Elephas maximus indicus: one gene and its partners. The protein of the gene in region 1 binds, or shares a complex with, the protein of each later gene. Links are inferred from orthologs where the notes say so. Each region holds a gene or a part of one and is shown in the gene's direction. Other genes may lie near its edges.

What was found.
Region 2: mitochondrial import inner membrane translocase subunit Tim23 (region 1) and TIMM21 share a complex: the UniProt entries of both Homo sapiens proteins name them as parts of the TIM23 complex. The link is inferred for Elephas maximus indicus from reciprocal best matches to the Homo sapiens genes TIMM23 and TIMM21.
Region 3: mitochondrial import inner membrane translocase subunit Tim23 (region 1) and TIMM17A share a complex: the UniProt entries of both Homo sapiens proteins name them as parts of the TIM23 complex. The link is inferred for Elephas maximus indicus from reciprocal best matches to the Homo sapiens genes TIMM23 and TIMM17A.

The regions. Positions count from the first base shown.
Region 1 is NC_064834.1:3,702,367-3,706,114, forward strand, and holds the start of mitochondrial import inner membrane translocase subunit Tim23, read left to right. Parts: upstream 1-1,400; 5' UTR 1,401-1,532; coding exon 1,533-1,638; intron 1,639-3,748. Other genes in the region: PARG (poly(ADP-ribose) glycohydrolase), read right to left, coding at 838-1,057. UniProt on the Homo sapiens protein: Essential component of the TIM23 complex, a complex that mediates the translocation of transit peptide-containing proteins across the mitochondrial inner membrane.
Region 2 is NC_064829.1:81,626,036-81,629,783, forward strand, and holds the start of TIMM21 (mitochondrial import inner membrane translocase subunit Tim21), read left to right. Parts: upstream 1-1,379; 5' UTR 1,380-1,870; coding exon 1,871-2,171; intron 2,172-3,748. Other genes in the region: FBXO15 (F-box only protein 15), read right to left, coding at 889-971. UniProt on the Homo sapiens protein: Participates in the translocation of transit peptide-containing proteins across the mitochondrial inner membrane.
Region 3 is NC_064836.1:10,555,435-10,559,182, forward strand, and holds the start of TIMM17A (mitochondrial import inner membrane translocase subunit Tim17-A), read left to right. Parts: upstream 1-1,113; 5' UTR 1,114-1,156; coding exon 1,157-1,182; intron 1,183-3,748. UniProt on the Homo sapiens protein: Essential component of the TIM23 complex, a complex that mediates the translocation of transit peptide-containing proteins across the mitochondrial inner membrane.

The DNA.
Region 1 (3,748 bases):
GGCTTCTCATTGCCTTTAGAGATAACGTTCAAAATCCTTACACAGGCCCAGCATGAGCTGACGTTTACAGTTCCATCTCTCACTACTCTTCCCTGTCCATTCTCTGTACCAGCCAAATTCCTAGAACACTTTCCCACTTCTTCTGACTTCCCTCCCTTCATCTAGCTAACCGCTACTGATTCTTCAGGCCTCACCATAGCATCTCATCTTCTGGGAGACTATCTTTGATCCCATAGTCTAGGTTAGGTACTCCTCCTGACTCCTACCATAACGATTCGTGTTCTGTACATCAGAGCACTCATTACCCTTTATTATACTAACCTGTGTAACTGTCTTCCTGTCTTGATAGATTTTAGGATTTAAAGACAGAGGTCAAGTTCCTCTCATCAAGTACTGTACACAGGAACTAATACAATGTCACCTAAGACCTACAGCTCTGCACCTCAAAAAAAAAAAAGGGTCCCAGAATCTGAATGAAGCTTCAACAGCTTTTTACCTACAGGCTGAGGCACACCGCTGCTTCACATACACAATCAGACCTCCTTGACCCCTAGGGCAATCTCTCAGTCAAACCAGAAGAAAGCAAACAGGTGGAGTCTTCTGCCACTTTCCGCGCTATGAACGTTTGCTCATCAGGGTTTCTCACACTACCAATCTTACCAAGAAAAATACGGTCCCATTTCCCCACTAGTGGCCTTGTTGGCTTAACAAGGGGACCTCAGAGTGATGCGTGTTTAAGACCAGAAAGGAGCAACTGGAGCCCCTGGGTCCTCGGACTGAGGTCAGGAAGAGGTTCGGGCCGGGGCGAAGGAACAAGACTTTAATTTCCCCACGTACCAAGCGAGGTGGTGCTGCCTCTGTGCGGTCCCGCCCGCCCGGGGACGCAGCCTGGCGAGGACGGTGGGGCCCTGCACTGCACGGACGCGTCCCTGGGGTCGAGGACGCGCCCCTGCCTGCCGGGGAAGCTCCGGGCGTCCGAGCGGGCCGGCGGAGAGCTTGCAGCGGCGCCCCAGCGGGGTCGCTTGGCGCAGGGCTCCCAGCCGGGGCCCGCGCTCATGCTGGGATCCGCAGCACACAGTCCCCGGGCCGCCCGGGCAGAGCCTCATTCACAAACCCCGAGAGGGTCGGGCTGCGCCTCCTTCTCGGCGCCTCCCCGCACCATTCCCTCTCCGCCACTGCCCGCTTCTGCAGCTGCTGCTCCGCTGGCCTCCCACGCCGGGCCCCAGCCAGCCGCCTGCCTTCCCTCGTCCACAGGAACCCCACCTGCCTGCCTCGGGACGCGCCGCTTACAGTCTGCCTTCCTTCACTTTCCCACCACCGGAGCGCTGCCGTCAGGCGCTTCTGGCTTCCGGGGCGTGCACTGTCGCAAAACGGAAGTGTGGTGCTTAACGGGCGCCGTCCCCCGGAAGGTCAGCGTGTGAGGGAGCCGGTGGTAGGCCGGAGTTCCCCGCGGTTACTGAGGGGCCGCGGCCGAGCAGACGACGCCGGCCTTGGGGGTGGCGGAAAGCAGACGGGAAGGGAGCTGCGACACCATGGAGGGCGGCGGGGGAAGCAGCAACAAAACCACAGGGGGCTTGGCCGGGTTTTTCGGAGCCGGGGGAGCAGGTTACTCGCACGCAGATTTGGCCGGCGTTCCCGGTAAGTATCGGGCCTAGCCCGCGAACATTTCTGACTGGTTTCTGCGGCGACGCTAAACATGCCGCTCCTCCTTTTTCTTTCTTTCCTTTTTTTTTTTTTTTTGCTGTCGTTCAAAAGCCTCAATCCCGTGGTGGGGTCAGGGTGTCAGCACAGCAGCTATTTCAAGACCGAACGAGCTTTGAGGGCCGTGAATTCACGAGGTGTGCTTTCTGAGGTTGACCTGGACTCACGAGATGCAGCCTGAATTCTTCCATTTATATCCAAGCATCGTACCTTTTTCCTCACACACATTCCTTGTGTGTGGGGCCGTGTACTTGGCCCTGTATTAAAAGCAGGGTCCGGCTCTGCAGGTAAATGCATCCCATATGTCGGCCTCGTAGTTATTAGCACAAAGTTGCATGTTTTAAATCCCAAAGTACTCGTTAGAACAAAACTTTCAATATTAATGCATCTAGGAGAGAAAGAAACACGATTTGAAACATACTAGGAAAATCTGGAGGTGCTCAAAAGTGAGCTGAACTTCAAAGGTGGATTATAGACATGAAGAAAAAAGCCAGTTAAGGGTGCTAGAAAGGGAAGTGCCCAAGCTCAAGAGTGCAGAGACATGAATATCCTAGCTGTGCCCTGTCCTTAACCCTAGCAATATGTATTCCAGGTCTTGGGACTTTATGGCAATAGGTGTCCAACTGGAAACATAGAAGCTGGACCTAAAGACAGTAGGAAGTTGATGATAGATGGGCCCTTTGCAAAAGTGTTTTCTTTTTTGAGAATTTTTTATTTCTGTTGACCTGTTTCTGTAGAACATTATGCTTAAGAAAAACAAAAAGCCGTTTTATAACCATAGTGTCACTTGTGTCAAAACTGGGTCTAGAATATGGTTTATCTATAATGAGTCTTAAAAGCTCTGAGTTTTGGAGCACAGAGAAAACTAATATGACAAAATATTGTTGCATTAATTTGATTAAGATTTGAAGATAAATTGAGGGTTTTTGAGAGTGAACACCATTCATTGAGCACCTACAATTACCGAGTGCCTTTCTGGGTTTGGAACTCACAGCAGTTTATAAAAAAGCTATTATGAAGCATGCATCCTACAGAGGTGAGCCAAGTAACCTAAGTAGAAAACGTTTTAGTTAGTGATAAGTGCTAAAAGGAAGAAATCAGGATCATGAGGTGGAGGTGGAGGGGGGAGCATTTTAGAATGGCTGGTCAGGGAAAACAGCTCAGGAAAGTTGACACTTGAGCTTTGACCTGCATACAGACCCATCTGAACAGTTTTTATAGCCTAGTGTGTCTGCAGTTTTTAAGGATGTTGGAGGGGGTAGGAGATAATGAGGTCAGAGAGGCAGGGAATGGCAGCCGATGTAGGGTTTTGTAAGCCACAGTAAGGAATTTGGATTTGATTATATGTGTAGAGGGAAGCCATCAGAGCTGATTTCCTTTTCTTAAAAACCGCTCTGTTTGCTGTGTAGAAAATACATTGAAGGAGCAGGAGGAAGTAAAGAATCCAGTTAGGTAGGAGACTCTTGTAGTTAGGTTGAGACTTGGTGGTAGGACTAGGGTAATGGCAAGAGAGATGGTGATAAATATCATAATTAAAGAAATACAGTAAAACCTGCAAAAGCTGAAACCTGTGTAAGGCAGAAAACTGTCAGAGAAGGAAAACTCAAATATTTTTCACTAAAACAAGCAATAGAAAAGTGGCAAGGCTGCACCCTGTCAATGGCAGAAAACTTGTGAGACCAGGAAAAGCAAAGTTATCCCGTCAAGCTCCGGCTCTCACAGGTTTCACTGTGTATTAAAAGTAGAATTAACAAGACTTTCAATTGATGAAAAGATAAGAGGTATGGGTACTATATAGATCTGCAATCAACTGATGTACAGAAGGATCCAAAAATTAAATTTAAAATTTAGGAAAGTTGGTTTTCCTTGATACATTTTTCTCTTTAAGATTAGTAGAATTCAGGTCTTGCCCTCTGAAAGTTTGCATTCTCTTTTGCCCCCAACCCCAATCCCTATAATAATGACCGAAGAATTCTCTACCTTGCCGTGGTAAATCAAGGCAGCAACTGTCAGCACTAAAGTCTAAAGGAACTGCCTTGAAATATTT
Region 2 (3,748 bases), on another chromosome or scaffold:
GACCCTGCATTTTAACAAGAGCCCCAGAAAATTCTTATGCATAACTTCCTGGGAACGTGTTAAACATGCTAATTCTCAGCAGGGGTTCCAACCAGAGCTGGTTCAAAGCCCTGCCTCACCCTTCCAAGGTGCCTTTCCCTCTGTGAGGAAACCCCAAGAATAACAGAGCAGAGATGAGCACGACAGGCGCAAGCCCCAGCTCTTCCAGAGGAAGACAGGGCAAAGCAGTCTGAGAGCCCCTGCTGCGGCTCTCCAAAAGGAGCACCAACGGTATGCGCTCAGAAACGAGGACTTAGACTCGAGATCCGAATGGCAGCCTGCCTGCCTGCCAGAGGCTTAGGGGTGGTGAGTAGCTGTTCACAAATCCTAGGCACAAGAGGAAACCTAAAGTGTCGCTCGCCAAAAGGCTTCTATGAGCAGATTCTACTTCCCTGGGTTGTAACGTCACAAAAAGACAAGAGGCGATTTTCTGGCCCCAGAATAGCGAGAGTGCTTACGTGAGAGCAGAGAGCACCATGACCTACGGGACGTCTCAGCTGTGCGAAGGCAGACTAGAGGTCTACACCTGCGTGCGCACGTGCACGCCTCCCCGGATAGGTGACTTAAGATGACAAGAGACTCCCAGCGTGTTCCCTTCCCTCCCCCCCGCCCGTCCCACGGAACCTAGTAGCTGTGAGTGAAGGGAACGCGAAAAGGCATTCCCTTTGCAGCTACATAATGGGATACCCAGCGTTTCCGAGTTTGAGACTTCCCCGCCTTAATGCGAGCAGCGCGCGCCCTGCAAGCACGGGAACTCCTACAGATCAATGAGGACCGCGGGCCGACGCGGGCGATTAAGGGTGTCCCTCGCGGCCCCCAGGCGCTCACCCACCACGCCCCGACCGTCACCTGAGCCCAGTGACCCCCGCAGGAGGCCCGAGGCCAGGACAGCGCAAGAGCTGCCGCGGGGCCCAGCCGCGTCCGGTCGCCATGGAGACCGCACTCCCGCGCCGCTGCGCCGACTCGGGGGCGGGACCGGAGCCGACACCGCCCCTAAGTGCGCCTGCAGCAGCGTTCTAGAAACTTCCAAGTCGACTTCTGCACACGCCGCCATCCTGTAGGCCCCGGGATAGCCGAACTCTTCTCCGTTTGGGAGCGGCTGTGAGGGCTTAGGGAACTCGGGACTGCGACGCCGCGAGCATCCCCAGAGAGGATTCTCACACACGGCCTCTGCGGCGGGCAGGAGAGTGCTAGAGAATCTGAAACGCCAAGACTCAATGACCAGCTCCTAAGTTACACAGAGCCCCAATTAGACCATGCCGTATGTAATTGCTAATTTGATTTCTGTAAAGTATTAACAGGTTTGCTTAAACCACGCGCGACCGAGGTGCGAGATTTCCCCCAAGCACGGCCCCCCCGTCTCGGCTTTTCCCAGTGCGCAGTCGCGACGGCTCGCGCGAGGGAGCCTGGGAGCGTTGGAAGGGCCAGGGCGCGTAGCCCGCCGTGCATTATGGGAGACGCAGTCCGTTGTGCTTCACACCGTGGCAATTGTTCTGAGAGCGCATGTCCTCGAACTACTGTTCCCAGAATTCCGCACAGGTCCCAGGCTGCTGTGCGAAGGCATGGCGGGGAGAAAGGGAATGTCCGCGTAAAAGGAAACCAGGGCGGCTTCAGCTGAAGCACAAAGAGCCGAAGGGAGGGCGACCTCGGCCTTCTTCTCGAGGCCTCCATCCTAACAACGCTCCTGGGGCAGCCGTGTTTTCTGGACACGCCTTACGGGATCCTGGTGTGGATGTGTGGACCAGCCCGTGTCTTATGTGTGTGCAGTGGGCGGTGAAGCTTTGCTGGTTGTAGTTGGCCCCGTCCCCAGGGGGAGCAGCACCCTGTGACCATGATTTGTACTCTTTTGCGAGCTGTGCAGCATACGGAGAAGCTGCACAGGTCCCCAGCGGCGCGACTGTGTTGGCCCCACTTCGTGCTTAACAAAGCTTCCTTGAGGACTGAGCCCAGCTTGAAATGGTGGCTGCCAGAGCAGAACAAAACTGTGCGGCCCAGAGGTATCCTTGGGGTCATCCCGAGAACCATCTGGACGCAGGGACGGGGCCTACAGAGAGCAAAGGAGGACGGCAGCAAACAAGTGTCTGTGCATAGAAGTCCGAGAAGGGAGACCGATGTCTCAACGTCACAGAAAGGTAAAAAGGAGGCGTCCAGTAACCATCATTCCGTCACAAACGTGGCAAAAGCCACCAGTGCCCTTTTACACAAAGTTCAATGCTAAAAATGTAAAATTCGCACACGAACTAAAAGGTGGAATTGTTAAGCACGTTACAATCAGAATATAGGCCTACCAATTTTCTTCACAAATTCAATCCCAGATTTACAAGTTGATCTTGAATTTGATATAACTTGGTTGCATTACGTCTAGAAAATTTCTCTCAACTTGTGTTAGTCCTGGTGTGATAGAAGCTATGTAAAATTTAAACGTTACATATTTTAAAGTATGAAATCTCGTTGGAATCTCTTTCAGGTGGACATTAGCTCTCTTCTGTTTTGTGTATGAGGCATACTTCCCCCAAGATCACACAACTGATAATTAAACATGAATTTTTCTTTTTTCCTAATATCCAGGTCACAGCTATTCACAAATGTTTCTTGAATACCCCTTTATACTCAGTACTTGGACAGGTGTTAAGTACTATTGGCTGTGGCAAAGGAATTTTACACACAAATAACGTCTTGGGAAGAAAATAGAGCATGAAACGATAGTGAAAAAAGCAAATTAGTTGTGCGACAAAGAAAGAACATTTTGTTATCAGTAGGTGCCATGGAATCGATCCCAGCTCAGCAATCTCATGTGACAGAGTAAAAGTGCCCCATAGGGTTTCCTAGGCTATAATCTTTACAGAAGTAGATTGTCAGGTTTTTTCTCCTGTGGTGCTGCTGATGGGTTCGAACCACTGATGTTTCAGTTGGCAGCTGAGCGCTTAACCATTGGGCCATCAGGGCTCCTAGAAAGAGTAATAGAGAGCATATAATAAAGAATAATTGGATAGAATAAATAGGAAAGAAATTATTGAATCATAAACAGTAAGGAAAACCATATGTAGTTCTGCTCACTTACTGAGCGACAACTGTTATGCCTATGTACTGAGTTAGAGTCTATACTGCAGAATTAAAGATGTCCAAAACGTCCCTTGCCCTCAGTGTGATAACATGCAGTAACAGTACGTACATATAAAGTAGGAAGGATGATACATAATTTGTTACGAAGAGTCAGAGAAGGCTTCACAAATAAGGCATTTTAAACTTAATTTTGTATTTATTTCGTTTTACAAGTAATTTGTAGAAAAGGTAATTAAGGACAAAGGAGACAAAGAAAGCAATTGAAACTTATTATTTCCATAATACTACGTGTGCTTTGAATGTCATACTAAAATTTTGCAGGGGCCTGACTTTGGTGAGAAGGCTTCCTTGGATGAAGGCAGTTCCCAGAGAGGGACGCAGCCAGGAGTAAGCGCCCAGTCCTGAAGAAGTCTGGCTGGCACACCATAACACCCACTACAGGAGGGTAGAGGATTGCAGAAACAGAGGGCGTGAGTGAGGGCTGTATGCACGAAGGTGTGAGGTCTCAAAGGTCCAGGAGGAGGAAGGTAGGCAGTGAACAGCTTCCATGGGAAACAGCTATAAGGTTAACGCTTAAAACGTAGACCTGAAATCTGTAGAGCCTGGATAATGTTCAGTGCAAGGCTTTACACAGGTGGATACACAG
Region 3 (3,748 bases), on another chromosome or scaffold:
ATTAGACTGAAGCTTTCTTAATTACAGTCACAAGTTCCAAACAGACCTTCTTGAACTTACCCCAAATCAGATTAGTTTGAACCGTTCTTCTTACATACAAGACCCATTTACTGACAGTCTTTAGTTCTAAAGGGTTTAATACATCTGCTTGTCTTATTTCCAAGCTTTTGGAGGGGACCTCACTCTTCCCTGCAGTATTGTATATATTTATCCCGCTGACTTTTCCATAAAATAAATATATACATATTTTAAAGTCAATCACCAAAGTGCCAAATGAAGACCGCCTTTAACTGCCATCTACATGAATGTGGTCGACTGTAAGCTCAAAGGAGCCGAATTAACTAGCATGAATCCACAGTTGACAGCCAAAGTACTAAAAGGGCGAGAGAAAGAAGTTTGGTGAACTCTAGAGGGGAATAACAACAGATTAATCTCAGGCCAGGAGACATGGTCGCACAGTGCTTAAGCACTTAGCTACTGACTGGAATCCACCAGCCGCTCCAAGAGAAAGATGTGGCAGTCTGCGTAAAAACTACAGCCTTGACAATCCTATGGAGCACTTCTATTCTGTCCTATATGGTCGCTATGAGTCAGAATGGGCTCGATGGCAAGGGATTTGGTTTTTTTGTTTGTTTTATCTCAGGCCACTGACAGTTCAAAAAAACGAAAAAGCAAACCCACCGCCCTTGAGTTGATTCCGACACACAGTTACCCTAACCCTATTACAGGGCAGGGTAGGACTGCCCCACAGAGTTCCCAAGGCTGTAAATCCTTTTTTTCCCCCGGAGGGGCCGGTCGGTTCGAACCGCCGACCTTTCGATTAGCAGCCCAGCTGTTAACCCACTGCGCCACCAAAATCCGTACCGCTATCTCAGTGACCGGGTAATCTGAACACCACCCCACTGAGGAAACCCCGCGCACACACTGCCTACCTCCGGCGCCTCCGAGAGCCTCGAGGTGCCGGAGCCAATGCCGCGCCCCCACAGCGTCCCCAGCAGTCACGGCTCCCATTGGCTGAGGGAGGAAACGGTAAACCAATCCGCATGGACTTTACCCTCCGCCTTTCGGGATCACTTCCGGCGCTGGGGTCAGGCTCCGCCCAGCCTGCCCGGCTCCGCCCAGCTTGCCCCGCTTCGCTCGCGCTGCTGGAGTCAAGATGGAGGAGTATGCGCGAGAGCCTTGGTGAGCCTTATCCGCTGTCCTTGCCTTTCTCCTGCCCTTCTGCCCACATCCGCCTTTTTCCCTTTTCTACGCCCTGAGGTACAAGCCGAACTCGGCCGCAGGCTCGTCGATATAGGCTTGGTAGCCGTGGGCAGCGCGGGCTTGAGCGGCCAGTGGGATCCTCAGCCCTGTACTTCCCGGGCCGCGTGAGCGCCTTGTCGGCCCAGCCCAGCGCCCCGGCCACCTTGCGGCGAGTGGTCAGGAGACCCAGGCTCGGACGCATGGAGCCGCGGAGCCTCCTGGCAGCCCGGGCACAGTCGGCCTTGTGCGGGGTCAGTAGTGCTCGGCTCGCTCGGATGACCTTGGACACGGCTCTGCGTCTCGCTTCGCTCAGTTTCTGCATTGAGAAAGGGGAGATAGGCCTCTGAAGCGGTGCCGCTGGCTTGAGACTTACTCATATCGTGATATGTCTCCGCAGGATGAAGGTTTTCAAATGAATAGAACATAAGCTTTACCCAGAGAGTCTGGATAAACCCCTTGTAGGCTGGAGCCTCCTTTTCTGGCTTGGAATTCTCCCTTCGGGGGGGGGGGGGTGCAAAAATGACCTGGAAAAAGGGATAGTAGTTTGTGTTTCCTGAAAAGCCATGAGCAAAAATTCATTCATTCATTTATTCAACGTTTTTTGATTGAGGGCTCTGTGCCCAGGCATTGTTAGGCTCAAGGAATAAAAATATGAATAAACCAGACACTAACAAAACCGTTGCCGAAGTCGATTCCGACTCATAGCGACCCTATAGGACAGAGTAGAACTGCCCCATAGGGTTTCCAAGGGTGTAAATCTTTATGGAGGCAGACTGCCACATCTTTATCTCGCAGACCAGCTGGTGGGTTCCAACGGCCTACCTTTCCATCAGCAGCCCAGTGCTTAATCACAGCATCATCAGGGCTCCTCAACCAGACACTTAGTTAATTATGAAACAATGTAATTGCTGTCAGAAATCCAGGTTGCCTGAGTTTTAGGCTTCTGGGACCATAAGTGAAAAACCAGCTCTTGTTATTTGGTCTTATCCACTGTTGTGTAAGAGCAAGAACTGAGGTGTCCTCAAGTTGTGAAAGTGTCCAGGATTTTAAATTATTAACCTTGTCAGCATGTAGCCCTGTTGCTTGCTTTGTGTCCCCTGCCCCTTAACAGGTATGCAGGATATATGTTTCAGCCCCTCCCAGCTCTTTTAAACAACCTTCACTGAGGCATTGTCCCCCTTACACTGGATTGTACTCAGATTGCAGCTTTCAGCACATTGTAGAAGTTGACACTGCTCTTGGATGGTGTATGATGACACAGGTTGGCAAGAGGGTAAAATATTTACCTTTGTTGGATTAAAAGTTATAAGAATAATGGGTTTGGATTTACTAATTCACTAGTACCTACTTTTTGCTTTCTCTTAGTATGGATGTCCTGAAGCAGTACAGTTTTCTGGGCAGCTTTGCTGTCAAAGCTGCTTTATCTTCTGACGGCCTGTTTTTATATAGTAACAGCATTTCCTCAAGTCATCCCAGCTCAAAACTACAAGCATATTTTCGTACAATACTTATCTTTTCGTGACTGACTTTTTTCACTCGGTTTTGAACCACTGCTAAGAATTTGCATTTCTAACAAGTTTCCAGGCGATGCCAATACTGCTGGTTAGGGACCAGTTGTGAGAACCACTAGTAGAGCAGTGTTTCTCAGAATTTATCATACGTAAGAATCAGCTGGAGATCTTGTTAAAATGTAGATTCTGATTCAGTTTATCTCGGGTGGAAATGCAAATTCTCAGCAGGGCTTCAAACCAGAATGAAGCCCTGATTTCACTTAGCATAATGCTTTCAGGATTCAGCCATCTTGTAGCATGTATCAGGGCTTCGTTTGTCTTTATTGCTGAGTGACAGTCTGTGGTGTGAATATGCCCCGTTTTGTTTGTCCATTCACAGGTCGAGGGGCGTTTAGGTTGTTTCCGCCTTTCGGCTGTCGTGAATGCTGCTGCAGTGAATATCCGAAATACTCCTTTTTATCATGTGTTCTCAAAAACCCTTAGACCATGTGATAATAGTGGAGAGAATATGGGCCTTTGGAGTACTAGATGTTGCATTTAAATTGATTCTACTAGTTACTGCCCGTATGATTTTGGACTAGTTACTTAATCTTTCTGAGCCTTGGTTTCCTCACTCGTAAAATGAAGAGGATAGTACTCGTTTTTGCAAAGTTAAAAGATTTTGGACTGTATATGAATTAGCCTAGCTTTCTTGGAATTCATAGGTTTTATTTGAGTTATGGGACACCTAAAACATAGTTGACCCTTAATAAATGGTAACTTTTAAATCTTATTACTGTTAGTTACTGGCTCTCTGTTGCCTGCATTTGCCTGACATTTACCTTAAGAGTATGGCTTCAGCCTTTTTTTCATATAGCCCATTATTTCCCATAGGAACATTTATTTGATTTAGCTAGACTATGTTCGGAAACTTTTTCCATCCTGCCTTTGTTTTGGACATCCTGTCTTGAATACGGAAACCCTGGTGGTGAAGTGGTTAAGTGATACAGCTGCTA